Linked DNA regions of Ovis aries. The protein of the gene in region 2 binds, or shares a complex with, the protein of the main gene of each other region. Links are inferred from orthologs where the notes say so. Each region holds a gene or a part of one and is shown on either strand. Other genes may lie near its edges. The genes, in order: CIPC, CLOCK and BMAL1.

Region 1 (4,990 bases), on a different chromosome or scaffold from region 2:
GAGTCGAAAATGAATCGTGAATAAGAATGCCTCCAGGTATAGCTTAAACGTACTACCTCGGTCCATTTTGTCATGACAAAACACCACAGACCGTGTAGCTTATAAACCACAGAAATTTATTTCTCCCAGTTCTGGAAGCTGAAAGTCCAAGCTTAGGGTGCCAGCAAGGTCGAGGGACAGCCCTCTTTTGGGTCACAGACTTCTCACTGACTGTGGTGCAAGGGGCTGGGGACCTCTCTAGAGCCTAAGGCACTCATCCCATGAGGTGAAGCTCTCATTACCTAAGCCCCACCTCCTAACACCATCATCTTGGGGGATTAAGATTCCATATATGAATTCTGGGGGGACACAGATGTTCAGATTGGAGCACTCGTCCGGTTGCGTTGTTATTGCTGTTTTACCTGTTGGTCCGGTGTTCTCTTTATCCCTGCAGTATCCTTGTGTTCTGACTGTGCCGCCTTTCCAGCTGCCATCCCTTGGCTGTTCAGAAAAGAAAGTGAAAGTGTTCGTCGCTGAAGCGTGTGTCCGACTCTTTGCAACCCCGTGGTCTGTAACCCGCCAGGCTCCTCTATTCATGAGATTCTCCAGGCCAGAATATTGGAGTGGGTTGCCATTCCCTTCTCCAGGGGATCTTCCCGACCTGATGATCAAACCTAGGTCTCCTGCATTGGAGGCAGATTCCGTAGCATCTGAGGCACCATGGAAGCCCTGACTGTTCAGAGGGCCCTGTTAAAATATCCTGAAAGGGCTCATTGGTCTCACAGTTTGCGCTGTTAACCTAGTTCTGGATCTGCTTTGAACTAGCTGTGTGTTACTGGGTCAAATCTAGGCGTCTCTCAGGAAGAGGGGGAGCAGGTCTGTCTGATTCGCTCTGTACCCGCCACTAGCACCATGCCCAGCTCACAACAGGCACTCAGGAAGTATTTTTAAATGGCTGAATATAACTTATCTGAGCCTCAACTTCCTTCTCTGTAAAATGGGATAACAACTGAGAAGGATGTTTTGAGGCTCAAATGAGATAATCTTAACATCAGTAATGTTACGGGTGTTTGTGGATCAAAGCACTGTGTATCTGGTTTTCTGTGCACATAGACGCACTTTCTAAGCCAGAATGTGGCATGCATATATAAGGAGTTGTTTTTTGATCTGTTCACTACCTCCTCTAATTTGATAAACTACACTCGGGGAGGTGGCAGAAAGTCTCGGGCCTGCGGAGGTATCCTGGGAAGCAGGCCTGGTCCGAGGTGGGCATCCCCTCTCCTCTCTTCTTCTCCCTCAGGGAGCATTCCAGAGAGCTAATCAAATGTGCCTTTGTTAGCAGTTTACAAAGCTTCCACTGAATGGTCTGTGTGCTTTGCATTTGTAATGGAATTAGAGGGCAGGGAGAGGACAGTGAGCCTGCCTTTGGATGGAAACCATTCTCCTGCTGAGTAAACGTGTAGCCTTTGTCTGCTGAGACCTCTGAGAAAGTGCCGGCTGAGGACGTGGGCGAGGCCCGTGTCCTTTGCCCCGACTTTACTCACTGCTGGTTCACCTGTCCTAGCTCTCCAGGCAGTGACTTCTTACGTAACTGTTGTTTTTTCACAGGGCAGTCCAGATGAAAAGAGTACTGATGTGTCCCCTCGCAGCCCAGTAAAACATGGAGAGGAAGAACCCGTCCAGAGAGGGCTCTCGAAGGCTGTCAGCCAAACCAAGCAAGGGCTCAGAGATGAAAAAGGCGTCTCGTCAGCTCGGCCTGGCAGCTGCTGAGTCAGACAAGGACTCTGGATTTTCAGGTTAAAATTACCTTATCCTTTCTACACTGTAGTGAATGATTTGCCTGAAAAATGTCCTCCGTAAAACTCATTTGTGTGATAATGATGGGAAGGTTTCACCCACAGGAGAAATGAATGGCTCTCTGGTCTCTTAAAATGGTAGTTCTGTTGCCACATGGCAGGGTATTCATCAGAGTCACAGTGGGGTTAGTTCTGAAGGAACGGTTTGATGTCTTTTTTCAGCTCAGACTCTCAACTTCAAATCTTACGTGTTTCCCCACTGTGGGAAGTGGTTATGGGAGAAAAGATATAAAATACTCATAATTCTGTTGTCTTTCCTCCTTTCTCACAGGAATAGTTATATTGCAGTTAAACTGCATTCCAATAATCACATTGGAAAAAAAACTGCATGTTGTCACCACATAGAACAAATTAAACAAAGGTAGTGGGGTCACACAGAGTCGGACACGACTGAAGCGACTTAGCAGCAGCAGCAGCAGTGTATAATTTGTTAAGATATCTTTTTTCTAAGAAAGTATTTTGTTATGTTTAAAAACATTTCCTCCTGATAGCCCATCCCTGCCAGTGTTTGCTCTTTGTGTTTGGTCTGTGAGTCTCCTGGCCCCATTCCAAACCTGAGTACCTATTAGAGACGAGAAAGCAGGACAATTTTCCTTACTATTTTTTCTGAAAGAACTAGCTGCATACCCAGTAAATCTTTTAATTTTGTGCTGAGGCTTTTTTTAATCTCCAGGTCTGAGAGAAGTGGCTTAAATACGGCTTGAGTGGCGACATTTTTGGCCCAGGGGATGCAGAGAGGTGATGCCAGGGGATTCGGCCTGGGCCGGCATCCCGAGAGCGGAGCCCTCTCCTGGAGGAAGATTTCTATTTTTCAGCCCACAGAGACTAATCAGTCCATCTTGTCGATTTATGAATTTATAGTGAGAAATGCAGCTCTTAGGAACCCTGAACTCTCTCACCCTTAGATTTGTAAATTTTGAAGCTGCAGGGGAAGCCAGGTTATCAATAGGTTGTTGATCTGAGAGGAGCAGAGCACCAGGTCAGGGATTAGAATAAGTACAGTTCAGGAAAGTTAGGGCCAGCGTCTAGCTCTTTGGGTTTTTCTTCTCAATTTTTTCCCATTGTTTCTCAAGCTTGCCTCATCATAAGGCCTTTCTGAGGCATTTGTTTAAAAACACCAGGCCCCTCTCCTGGAGATTGTGACATCGAGGGTCTGCGGGGAGGGCTTGGAGTGTGGGTTTCCTATTTTTACAAGTGTCTCTGGTGATGCCTGTGATCAAACAGGTTTGGGAAACTTTGCAAGCCTGCTGCTGTTGCTGCTGCTGCTAAGTCGCTTCAGTCGTGTCCGGCTCTGTGTGACCCCATAGACAGCAGCCCACCAGGCTCCCCCATCCCTGGGATTCTCTAGGCAAGAACACTGGAGTGGGTGCCATTTCCTTCTCCAGTGCATGAAAGTGAAAAGTGAAAGTGAAGTCCCTCAGTCGTGTCCGACTCTTCGCGACCCCATGGACTGCAGCCCACCAGGCTCCTCCGTCCATGGGATTTTCCAGGCACAAGTACTGGAGTGGGGTGCCATTGCCTTCTCTGTCTTAATATCATATTGGGTTGTTTTTTTTTTTTAATATCATGAAGGTAATATATGCTCATTGTAGAAGCTTAGAAGTTTAGGTACATGCAGAGAAGAAAATAAATATTAACCATAATCCCACCTCCTGTTATTCTCAATACTGTGGCCATTTTGGTACTTCCTCTGACAACTTCAGCTCCATCAGGCCAGCTGTTTTGTAGCATGTTGCACAGCCTGGGTAGTTTTTCTGAAAGTTTCCTATTCTCAATGCAGCAGTGCCTTAAGAAGTTTTGTGCTGTTCAGACATAAGGCAGTCTTAAAAATACTCAGACTCATATGCCCCAGAAGGTGGTCCCAGTGAAGGCCTCCAGCCACTTCTGGGCCAGGTGCCAATGGTGTCATCCCTGCTGGAGTTATCCTTTCAGTTCCTTGGGATGTGATGTAATTGGCAGTTATTAATTAGCTACAGTCCGTATTTAGATTTTTCGCATTGTCTCAGTAGTGTCCTTTATAACTGTTAGTCTCTTTTGTATATTTGCTTGTTGTGGGTGCAGAACTCAGTTGAAGGTTGTGCATTTCATTTCATTGTCCTGTCTTTTCGCTCTTAGTCTAGAACAGTTCCCTTGTCTTCCCTTTCTTTTTTTTTCGTGAAATTGACATCTTTAAATGAGTTAGGCCTGTTGTTTTGTACGATGTTTCACACTGGACTTCTCTGGTAGCTTCCCCAGTATTAGAAACAGAATAAACGTTTTTAAAATAGAAAACTAAATTTTTGATGTTACATCCTCTCATTGCAACACATGAGGTGACTCCTAGGTTTGTCTTATTCTTGGTGATGCTCTGATTAAGGGAGTAATTGTAGACCAGATTTCTTTATTATGAAAGCCCTCCTTTCTCTCTGTAATTAATAAGCAGAGTATGGGATGGTACTTTAAGATTGTGTGACTCTCCTGTTTGCCAACAACCTCTTGACCAGTGGTTTTTGCATCCACTGATGATGCTTACCTAAACCAGTTATTAAACTTGTGGTTTGAAAAATGGTGATCTAATTCTATTATTCCTTTACATGTTATTAGCTGTTGATCTTCTTTAAGGAAACACTTCTCGACCCCCTTTTTTGAGCATCACTGTGGATTCACGGAATTCTTTTCTGATTTGGTTTGTCAACCCATTATCCGTATTCTTTCTGATACCAGGTTGTCCCACATTGGGTCAGTGGGGGTCTCTTCTAGATGGCACCTGTGTCTTTGACGTGTCTCGCATTTGTGGTTGAGCGCTTCCTTGCTTTCTGGGACAGTAAGATGTCTAGGCTTCCCTGCCAAAGACATCAGCTATTTCTCCAAGGAGCCCTGGTTTCCTTTTCATGCAGAACGGCATTTGCGTAGAAAACAAGATACATGTACTAGGTACGTACTTTCCTTCTGAAGTTCTTTGTTTCTGGCCCAATAGCTCTTAACTAAAGGTGCACATCTGGATTACTTGTGCTTTGTGAAAGTACGTGTGCCTGGACACCAGCTAAATCAATTCCATAGATTGAGGGGAAGGCCCCAAGACCCATAATTTCTGAAACGCATCTCTGGAGAATCTGATTAAAGGCAAGTGTTGACAGTTGCACTCTTCTAAATTATAGTCACATTCCAATCTCGCC
Region 2 (4,940 bases):
CTAAAGCAAAAACCAGACCAAAAAGCTTCTTCTCCTGTTCCCCCTGCTGGATTCCTTCCAAGTAAATCAATGTCTCTTAGTTAAAGACCAAGCATGCTTAGGTTCACATCAGAGGACCAGGAGAGGCTCAGTTGCTTAACTTTCTGACATATCCAATCCAGGTCATTTCCCTGTCCTGTGAGTAGTAACAGAGCTCACAGTAGAGACAAACTAACAAAGCAGACAATCAAGACAACTTAATTTTTGAGATTAAAAGTCTATGTAAATACACAGAAAAAGAACTCAAAGGTTATATAACAATGTAACAGTAGTTATCTCTGGGGAGAGATGTGAGATAGAAGTGAAGTATGTAAAAAGCATTGTCACCTATTATAAATACATTGCATTGTTTACATTTTTCCTGAACATTGACTTACTTCTCTAATGTTTTTCAAAAAGAATGAACAGACATATATGGAATTCAAATGAAAATTAAATGCCATTTGCAGAAATTTGACTACCAGAGACCAACAGATCAAAGAGAAATAACAAAATTATCCTATCCTCCAAAATAAAAAGGAATGCTACACAACAAAAATGCCCATAGCAACTGTCACCCACTACTCAACATTCACGACTCTGATTATACGATATTAGCCACCAGAGGAATTTTGAGTACCCTCCCCCCTGAAACTACATACTGTTTTCAGCAACCCATTAAGTCATAAAAAAATTTTAGCGTTTGCACCAACAGAACATTGACTCTCAACTTTAATTCTCTGTAAGTACTATATCTATATACAGGATCTCTCTCTAAACACACACACATATAAATTTACATGCAGTTCATGTCTGACCGCCTTGAGAAAGTATTTCCCCATCTGAAAAGCAAACTATCTAGAGAACCAATTCCAGTGTCATTTTAATGGAGAGTTCATATTCTCCAACTGTTTGTCATCACAACTTTGGGGTTAAAAAAAGTAAAAGTAAAATTTTATACAACTAGGATTTCTGGGGGAAAAAAAGCAGCAAGAAAAACTATGCTCTGAACACAGCATAAGCCAAAATGTCAAATGTAAATAATGTCATATATTTTAGCAAAACAAAATATGACTAAACATTTTTAAAAGTTAAATTTGTAACATTAGCATCTTAAAAACTGGAGCCTAGATAGCCATACTTAAAACTTTCTGTCAAGTTTAGGTCGTTTCCCCTTAAAAAAAAAAAAAAAAAAAAAAAAAAACCACTAAGAGAAACCATATTAAAAATGGCCAAAATTACTACAAACTAGGAAAGAAAGAAATTATTTTGAGCAAATTATTTTGGAGAGAAGGATTTTTGTTTAATCTAGTTTACGAACTCATAATATAGTCACAAATACTTTAAAATATAAAGGCATACAGTGTACGTGTCATTTCCCACCATCCCCTCATCAGGTTACTCCGCCCTCTACCCAACCATTATCAATTCTCCGCTATCCTCCCCCGCCAGTTTCTTTATACTTATAAAGACAAACCCAAGTTTATATTCCTATTCCATGGGTGCCTCGTTATCACACAAAGTAGCACGTTATTCACGCTGTCCTATATCTTGTTTTTTTCACTTTATAACATACTTTGGAGATCTTTCCGTGTCATTACACACAAAGCTTCCTCATTCTTTTTCACAGCTGATTATGACTACAACTTTCATCTTTCTTCAGGCTAAACTTTAATGATATTCTATACAGTTAACTACTTAACACCTGAGTTAAGTTTCTCCCCCCAAGATCTAAAAACAGACAAAGCAACTCATTATTTAAATTACATCCTTTTTAGAACGTTTCTTTTCCAACCAGGTAGACGGGAAAAGTCGCACTATTTTATCACTTAAAATAAAGGTACAAATTAGAATGTAGACTTCAAGTGAAATTACCTTTTTTTGATTGGGGCATCAGCGTAACAGCCAAATCAACAATGACTAAAAGTTCCTTCTAGTGCTTTTCTTTCACTGTAAAAGAAAACATTATTGTTGCTTTTCTAAGGTTAGAAAGCCTTCAAGTCGTATAGCGCGGCATTCTAATAGCAAGCAACCGCCACCTGATTCGATCTTTCATTCCCCAAGTCAGAGGCCGAGGTTTTTACCTTTCAGGATTCTGCTATTAGCAACAGGACGACTTGCACACCAGCGAAAACGCACTCAAGAATGTAAGCTCTGCGGCGCTACACATCGGAAATTACACTCCCGGGGCCAGCACGCCAGGACAAGCTAGAGTCCAGCTTCGCAGGCGAAAAGGTTTCCACAAGAATCAGCCGCCGCGGTGACCCGGGGCGGGCGGGCGCGGGTGGACTCAAGGAAGACCGGCGCCGCCCCGGGAGCGTTCGAACCCGCGCAGCGGCTCGAGTCGGACGCGAGGAGTAGCGCGTTCCCCGGGGACCCAGCCCCGGAACCGCGACCACTAACGGAACCAGCCCACGGGCGGCGGCGGCCACCGCTCGGACTGCGGGCCGCGGCGCGCGGGCCGGGTGCCGGGAGGGCGGGGGTTCCCCGGAGGAGCTGGCCGTCCCGGCGCCCCATTGGGCGCCGCTCCAAACGTGCCCGAGTTGTGACAGGAATAAAGTGGGTCACAAGGCCTAGCGGGTCCCCAGCGAAAGCCCTCTCCGCACCGGCTCTTCGGCTCTCCCCGCCCCTCTGCCGCTCGAACCGGCCTCAACCCAAGGGCGCGCTCCGGCCACCCGACCCCGCCGCGCACCCCAATCCCACCCCTGCCCCGCAGGTAACCCCAGCTGTCCCGAAAGGCCCTTCAGACGGGGCGGGCCTCCACCCCAACTCCCGAGAAAAGACACTCTCGAGCGATAAGCAAAACTTGGGCTTCAGCGCCAGCCCGCCCCTCCCCTGGCCGCCGCCCCCCGGCCCCACACACACCGCCCTCCCGCTCCCCCCACTTCCCGGCGCCCTCACCGTGTGGCTTGCGGCGGCTCCGGCTTCTTCCCTCCCCCACCCCGGAGTCCAGCTGCGGCGACTCGGAACCACTAGCCTTGCAGCGTCCTGAAGGCGCTGCGGCTCCCTGCTCTAGCAGCACCTGAGGCTGAGTGGCGCCCCCAACCCACCCCCCAAAAATTCACCGCTACAGCCGCCCTCAACTCCTCCCCCTCCCTTCCCTTCCCCTCCTCCACAGGCACCGGGACCACGCATGCGCCGCTCAGGCAAGCCTGCCGGCGGACGTCAGGCCCCAGGCCCACCCGGCGGGGCGCCACTCACCGGGAGCGCGCACGCGTCGGCGGCCAGATTTCCTTCGCGCTCTCTGTCTCGGGGGTTTCCTTTTTTAAGCCGGTAGCCGCAAGACGAGTCTGTGATTGCGCTCCCTCCCGGCGCATGCGTAGTCAGTGACCCCTGCGGGCTCCGACTGCCGGCGCTTTTCTTTCGTCCCTCCCCTCACTCTCTCTTTCCCCAGTGCGTCTTGGTGCGCATGCGATGTGCCCCGTTAGGCAGCTCGGAGCTGCGATGGGGATCCCGGGCGCCGGAGGAGACTCCTGCTCCCTAGGGCTACGCGTCTGCGCGATCCGCGGCTGCCGCCGGGCGTGCAGGAAAGCCAAGATCCCCCCGGCGCCCCGTTCCTCGCACCGGTTACTGGAAAGCAGGGGAGGCGGGGCCTGGTTAGCTGCGGAGGGTGCGGCCGGTCCCGGGAGTTTTAGATCAGGGTGGCTTTGACTTTTACCCTGGATGCAGGAAGCGAGGACAGAGGAGAGTTTCATGTGCAAGGGATCCCGAAGCCAAAAAGGGGGACCTTCTCTTTCTCGAAAACCAAATCACTTTGCCAATGCCAGGGGAAAAAAAAATCGGGCGGGCGAAAAGAATTTTCCCCCTCATCCAGTGGCATCACTTGCGTTTCGTCTCTTGGGACTGGAAGAGGGCGTTTGTGAAGGTGACTGGCACTCCAGACTCCTCCTCTCTCTTCTGGAAGTGCACTGCTTTAGTCGCTTCTTTTTGGAGAGTGGGCCTGGGGATATCGGACGTGAGTCCTTGGCTGGAGGGCCGAGGCCAAAGAAGATAACGGACGTGCTCCTTTGGAGATTTTTATCTAGCCTTAAGGAAGATGGGAGATAAACCAGGATCCTAGCTTGTACCTTCCTTCCCTTGTAGAAAAACGTGTGAATGTTTTCCCCCTTATCTTAGGGGGAAATTACTTTCTTTGATGGTTAAGACAGTTGGTCCGCAAGGGAAAGCACCTTTCAGTAGCTAAAAATTATTGGGAAAAAGTCTACACTCCTAATTCCTAGTAGTTTTCATATTTTAATGATTGTTCTTTGAATTTGAAATAGAAGCCATTTTTTCTTCTTTCAAAAAAACTTGTGACTATAAAATCCTCCCTCAAAGGTAACATTCATCTCAGTGAACACTTCAGATTCTTGCTGTGTACTCAAGAGAAAAAGAACATCGATTGAAATTGAGAAACTATTCAGATCCCTTATCATTCACCAGAGGATTCTATCCGGAATGGGAGAGCGTGATAGAGTCATCATATAGCAGACAAGATTTTAGTAGACATTTTTTCCTGCTTAGCATTCATTCCCTATTCTGAGGCTGGAGCAGGACTCCAGAGGAAAACACATTTGAGTTAATCCTCTACCTTAGTTTGGATTTAACTAAGAAGGTTGATCTCTTTTCCAGTGGAGTTAAGTCTGCAAAAATGAAAGCCTGAACACATCTTCCTACTCACAGATTCTGAGAAAGAAGGCAACGTGGAATAAAGCAGGTTTAAAAATGGAGATTTGGCCTGTAGACACATTGGATGCATGGAATCCATTGTGGACTAGATAACTGGAAATTTCAGTTAAGTTCAACTTCACTTTCACTTTTCGCTTTCGTGCATTGGAGAAGGAAATGGCAACCCACTCCAGTGTTCTTGCCTGGAGAATCCCAGGACGGGGGAGCCTGGTGGGCTGCCATCTATGGGGTCGCACAGAGTCAGACACGACTGA
Region 3 (4,249 bases), on a different chromosome or scaffold from region 2:
GGACCTCTGTGGCCCTGCTTCGGTGAGGGCAGCTGGGGAGCCACAGGGAGGCGGGAAGCCCTGACAGATTCGTGGAAAGTCTTCCTCTGTTTCAATTCTGTTCATTTTCGTGTGGCTCGGGAAGAGTATTCTCAGTCACAGTTCCCTGTGTCCCCAGCGCCCGCCAGAGTTACCCTAGGTTCACCAGTGCCTACAGGCGGCTAGGAGCAGCGGACATGCCATTTCTCTTCCACGGTGAAGTGTTTCTTCTCACCTTGCTGCCCCCTCCCGCTCTGAACTCTCCTCTGAGTTCTTTCTGTTGGTTCCTTTCCAGCCCTCTTAAGAGGAGTAGATACATACAACAGTCCATAGGTAATGTCACCCACCCATGTGGCTTTCAATGACATTTATATGCCAGTAATCTCCAGGTTCATATTTCTAGCCCACACTGCTCTTTTGAACTCCAGATTTGTAAACTAACTGCTTATTTAATCTACCTGCTTGGACATCTCTAGAGCATCTCATAGGTGATAGGCATAGAAGTAACCACCCAGGCTTCCTCTGGAATGTTACGGCAGCTCCTCGCATCGAGCTGTGTGTGCTGAGAGCCTGGGAGACACCGTCTCCCCGTTTCCCTCCGCCCTGGCCTAGGGTTCTTGCTGCTATGAGTCACTCCTGAAGAAGTGTATTTGTTACTGCCATTACTCGATCGAGGCTGTCCTGGGTCTCATAAGTCTGTTGAAGTACTTTCCTCACGCTTTCCAGCCTTTCCCATGGCCAGAGTGACCTTTCTAAAAGCAAATCTTTGTATCTGTCCCCTGTTTCAAACCCTTCATTGGTTCCCATTGCTCTTGAAGAAAAGTTTAAAATCTTTAATGTGACCCTGTAGCGCTCTCCCTTGACACTCCTCCATAGGTTTGAGCCGTGCAGACCTCCGTTTGATGCCTCCAACCCCTTTCCACTCAGTATCTGCACACGTGGTGTCACCTCTGAAGGAAGTGCCTCCCTCGCCACCAGCTCCCCTCCCTGGCTCTCTGCAAACCCCCCTTCAGAGTGGACCCCGATGTCTGTCGCTCAGTCCCTCAGACTGCCTTCTGTCTGCATGGCACACCCTGCAGGTTTTCCTTGTGACACTTGCTCCCATTGCAGTTATGGAGTCATTTGTGGGTTATTTGTTTGAAGTACCTCCCCCCCATTAGACTAAATTCCACAGAGGCGTGCCTGACTTGTTGTCCACTCTTTCCCAGTAACTAGCACAGACCCGATGCTTGGTAAACATTCCATAAGAATGTGTCTACTGGGACTTTCCTGGCAGTCCTCCACGGCAAGGGGGGCACAGGTTTGAGCCCTGGTTGGGGAACTAAGGTCCTGCGAGCTGCGACACAAGGCAGCCCGCCCCCGCCAACAACAAAAAAAAATATGTGTACTGTTGAAATTCACGGATGCTTCACGCTTAACGTGTCCCACACTGAAATCTTTCTCCCTCTCCTCTAAAACACACTCTGTATTCTCTCCCCTGAGTCAACAAATTGTACCTGTAACCACTCAATCCGAAAAAGTTGGACTCATCTGTGTTTTCTTTTTTCATCCCAAATATTTGATACTCAGACCAGATCCCAAAAGTTCAGCCCAGAAATTCCCCTGCGTCCTTTCTGCCTCCCCCTTATCTCCACAGCACTGCCATTGTGAGTCCCTGGCATCTCTCGCTGATTACTATCCTCCTCCTGGCTTTTACTGTCTTCCAGTCCCCCACCGCCCCCCGTCATTAAAGCATCCAAATCACGATGTGATTTTGCTGTTTCCCCACTGTAAGTGCCCTTGGAAACTCTCCATTTCCAGTCTGGAAAAGGTTAACACCTTTGTGAGCAAATGATCCAAGGCCCCAACAGTATGCTGCCAACCTACCTTCCCAGCACTTACCCCCAGCACCTCCCTTTTCACTTCACCTGCATGGAGCACTGTGCTGTTTGCTGTACAGGATGCCCCTCTGGGTCTTTGTACCTTCTCAGCCTTTACACATTCTGGTCCTTTAGCCGGTGCCCATCCCTCCCAGCTCTCCTCCTACACAGATCTTCTGGGCAGCCTTCCTCTGCCAGGGGGATTGTGCTGCTCCTTCCTTGGTGTACGTGATGCCCATTTGGTGTCATCATTGCTACGAAACACACATGACACTGGATCATGCCTGATCTTTCTGTCTTTCTCTTTCACTTGATGCTATCTTCTGGACAGTAGACTTTGATTTTTATATTTTCAGTCCCTCCCTACATCTCAATGCACGATAGGCTGCCTGTGCTTCCAGGCCCCAAAGCCCCACTGACATCGGACTTTGCTTTCTAGCAGATCGAAAAAGCTTCTGCACAATCCACAGCACAGGCTATTTGAAAAGCTGGCCGCCCACAAAGATGGGGCTGGATGAAGACAACGAACCAGACAATGAGGGGTGTAATCTTAGCTGCCTTGTCGCCATCGGACGGCTGCACTCTCACATGGTTCCACAACCGGCAAATGGGGAAATCAGGGTGAAATCAATGGAATATGTCTCCCGGCACGCGATAGATGGGAAGTTTGTTTTTGTAGACCAGAGGTAAGAGTCTGCACGTTACCCTTGGACTGTCTTGGCAGCAGATTTTCAACCTTGAGTAAAGCAGAGCAGACTGGGCCATTGGCTGCCTTTCTTAAGGATAGAGAGGAGGAAGTGACGGGTGGATCTGCTGAAAAATGAGACCTAGTGGGTTATCATCATAAATACAGAAATTTTCTCCATGTCATTCTTGGGCAGGTAGAGACAGTGAAGTGGGGTGGCTTGATGTCCGTGGCTAAGAGAGAAATAATAGGCATAACATGCTATCTGAATCTATGGAGTGTTCCATTAATTACTGTAATGTGAGTTCTGGGATGTGGGACTTTGAAAAGATTATCTGGTCTTGAGCTATCAATACAGTAGTCATTGGCTATAGTAACCCCATATATTTAATCAATTAAAGTTAAAATGTGAATTTAAATTCCCCCAGCTCACTAACCACATTTCAAGTATCAGTAGTCACATGTGGCTTCCCTGGTGGCTCAGCTATAAAGAATCTGCCTGCCAGGGCAGGAGATGCAGGTTCAATCCATGGGTCAGGAGGATCCCCTGGAGAGGGGAATGGCACCCCACTCCAGTATTCTTGCCTGAGAAATCCCATAGACGGAGGAGCCTGGTAGGCTGCAGTCCATGGGATCACAAAGGATTGGATACAACTTAGCGACTAAACAGCAGCAACAGTGGCTAATGGTACCTGAACAGAACATTTCTGTCTTCACAAAAAGTTCTGCTGGACAACACTGATCTAGTCTGGTCTCATTCTTTATGGCTGATGAACAGAGGCTCAGCCTGAAGACCAGCCCCCTCCGAGATTCGTAACTCATTGGCCGTAGACCTGGGCTAAGAACCCAAATTTCCACTGCTCTCTGCTGCTTCCTTACAAGTATCCACAGGCTAGCAATTTTTCTGGCCACTGGAAATAGCCAGTCACTAAATACTAGAAAAGGAGGCAGCCGCTTCTCAAGGTCCCTGTGGGCCCCACGACTGGGGCTTCTGGTCACTCTGATAAAAAGCAGGCAGTAAATTGGAGAAGTTTTGACCTGGAGTTTAGAGTCCTATCACTTTTTTTTAATCTAAAAGTTACTACTTTTAAACCTAAAATTTGATGTCTTGTGCTAACAGCCCCTTTGAAAGTCTTTGCTTTCTCTCTCTGTTTTTATAACCCCGATTAAAGTCAGCTTCATGAGAAAGAACAAAACCCATGTAATAAGCCCTCTGAACCCCCCCAGCTTTGACCTTGTTTTCATTGGCTGTAGCAGGAGTCATCCACTGCAGAGATCTGTTAATTGTCTGAATGTTATTTTATTTAAAAAAAAATTTTTTTTCTCCCTTTTAGGGCAACAGCTATTTTGGCATATCTACCACAAGAACTTCTAGGCACGTCGTGTTATGAGTATTTCCACCAAGATGACATAGGACATCTCGCAGAATGTCATAGGCAAGGTTAGCTGCTGGGCTGTACACCAGTTCTGAAGTTTCAAGTGTCCTCCTTCTAGACATGTCCATGGACCCTTGCAGAGAAATCTGCCCCTGTGAGGTGGGAGTCAGCCAGCCCAGGGACCTGCAGGCCAGAATGTCTGGGAGGAGAGGGTGCTGCTCCTTCCCCCAGGCCTCATCTACCCCCTTCCAGATAACCGCCCACCCCGACTGCCTAGTAGATCTCTACATGGGCTGGAGCAATTTCTGGAA

Evidence for each region.
Region 1: the proteins of CLOCK (region 2) and CIPC are in contact, whole or in part, in a crystal structure (PDB 5VJI), measured with the Mus musculus proteins. The link is inferred for Ovis aries from reciprocal best matches to the Homo sapiens genes CLOCK and CIPC. Residues at the interface, in NP_001276755.1 of Mus musculus: Gln519, Leu526, Lys527, Leu530, Arg533, Ile537, Asn540, Ile541, Arg543, Gln544, Glu547, Leu548, Ile551, Gln554, Leu555, Val558; in XP_006515773.1 of Mus musculus: Asn401, Thr402, Val405, Leu406, Ser409, Leu411, Ile414, Thr415, Thr418, Leu421, Ile422, Asn425, Thr428, Gln429, Leu432, Leu435, Lys436, Thr439, Gln440, Phe442, Ile443, Thr446.
Region 3: the proteins of CLOCK (region 2) and BMAL1 are in contact, whole or in part, in a crystal structure (PDB 4F3L), measured with the Mus musculus proteins. The link is inferred for Ovis aries from reciprocal best matches to the Homo sapiens genes CLOCK and BMAL1. Residues at the interface, in NP_001276755.1 of Mus musculus: Arg46, Gln49, Phe50, Leu53, Ile54, Glu56, Leu57, Met60, Leu61, Pro62, Lys70, Ser71, Leu74, Gln75, Ser77, Ile78, Phe80, Leu81, Arg82, His84, Lys85, Thr88, Glu95, Ile96, Gln98, Asp99, Trp100, Pro102, Phe104, Leu105; in XP_030097882.1 of Mus musculus: Lys70, Met71, Phe74, Ile75, Glu77, Leu78, Ser80, Leu81, Val82, Asp93, Leu95, Leu98, Arg99, Ala101, Val102, His104, Met105, Lys106, Leu108, Arg109, Gly110, Ala118, Tyr120, Lys121, Pro122, Phe124, Leu125, Asp127, Asp128, Glu129.

What each region holds. Positions count from the first base shown.
Region 1 is NC_056060.1:86,465,803-86,470,792, forward strand, and holds the start of CIPC (CLOCK-interacting pacemaker), read left to right. Parts: upstream 1-1,639; coding exon 1,640-1,775; intron 1,776-4,990.
Region 2 is NC_056059.1:71,697,598-71,702,537, forward strand, and holds the start of CLOCK (circadian locomoter output cycles protein kaput), read right to left. Parts: upstream 3,347-4,940; 5' UTR 3,220-3,346; intron 3,053-3,219; exon of another isoform or gene 2,920-3,052; intron 2,486-2,919; exon of another isoform or gene 2,103-2,485; intron 1,969-2,102; 5' UTR 1,894-1,968; intron 1-1,893. UniProt on the Homo sapiens protein: Transcriptional activator which forms a core component of the circadian clock.
Region 3 is NC_056068.1:39,065,681-39,069,929, reverse strand, and holds part of BMAL1 (basic helix-loop-helix ARNT-like protein 1), read left to right. Parts: intron 1-2,316; coding exon 2,317-2,563; intron 2,564-3,896; coding exon 3,897-4,003; intron 4,004-4,249. UniProt on the Homo sapiens protein: Transcriptional activator which forms a core component of the circadian clock.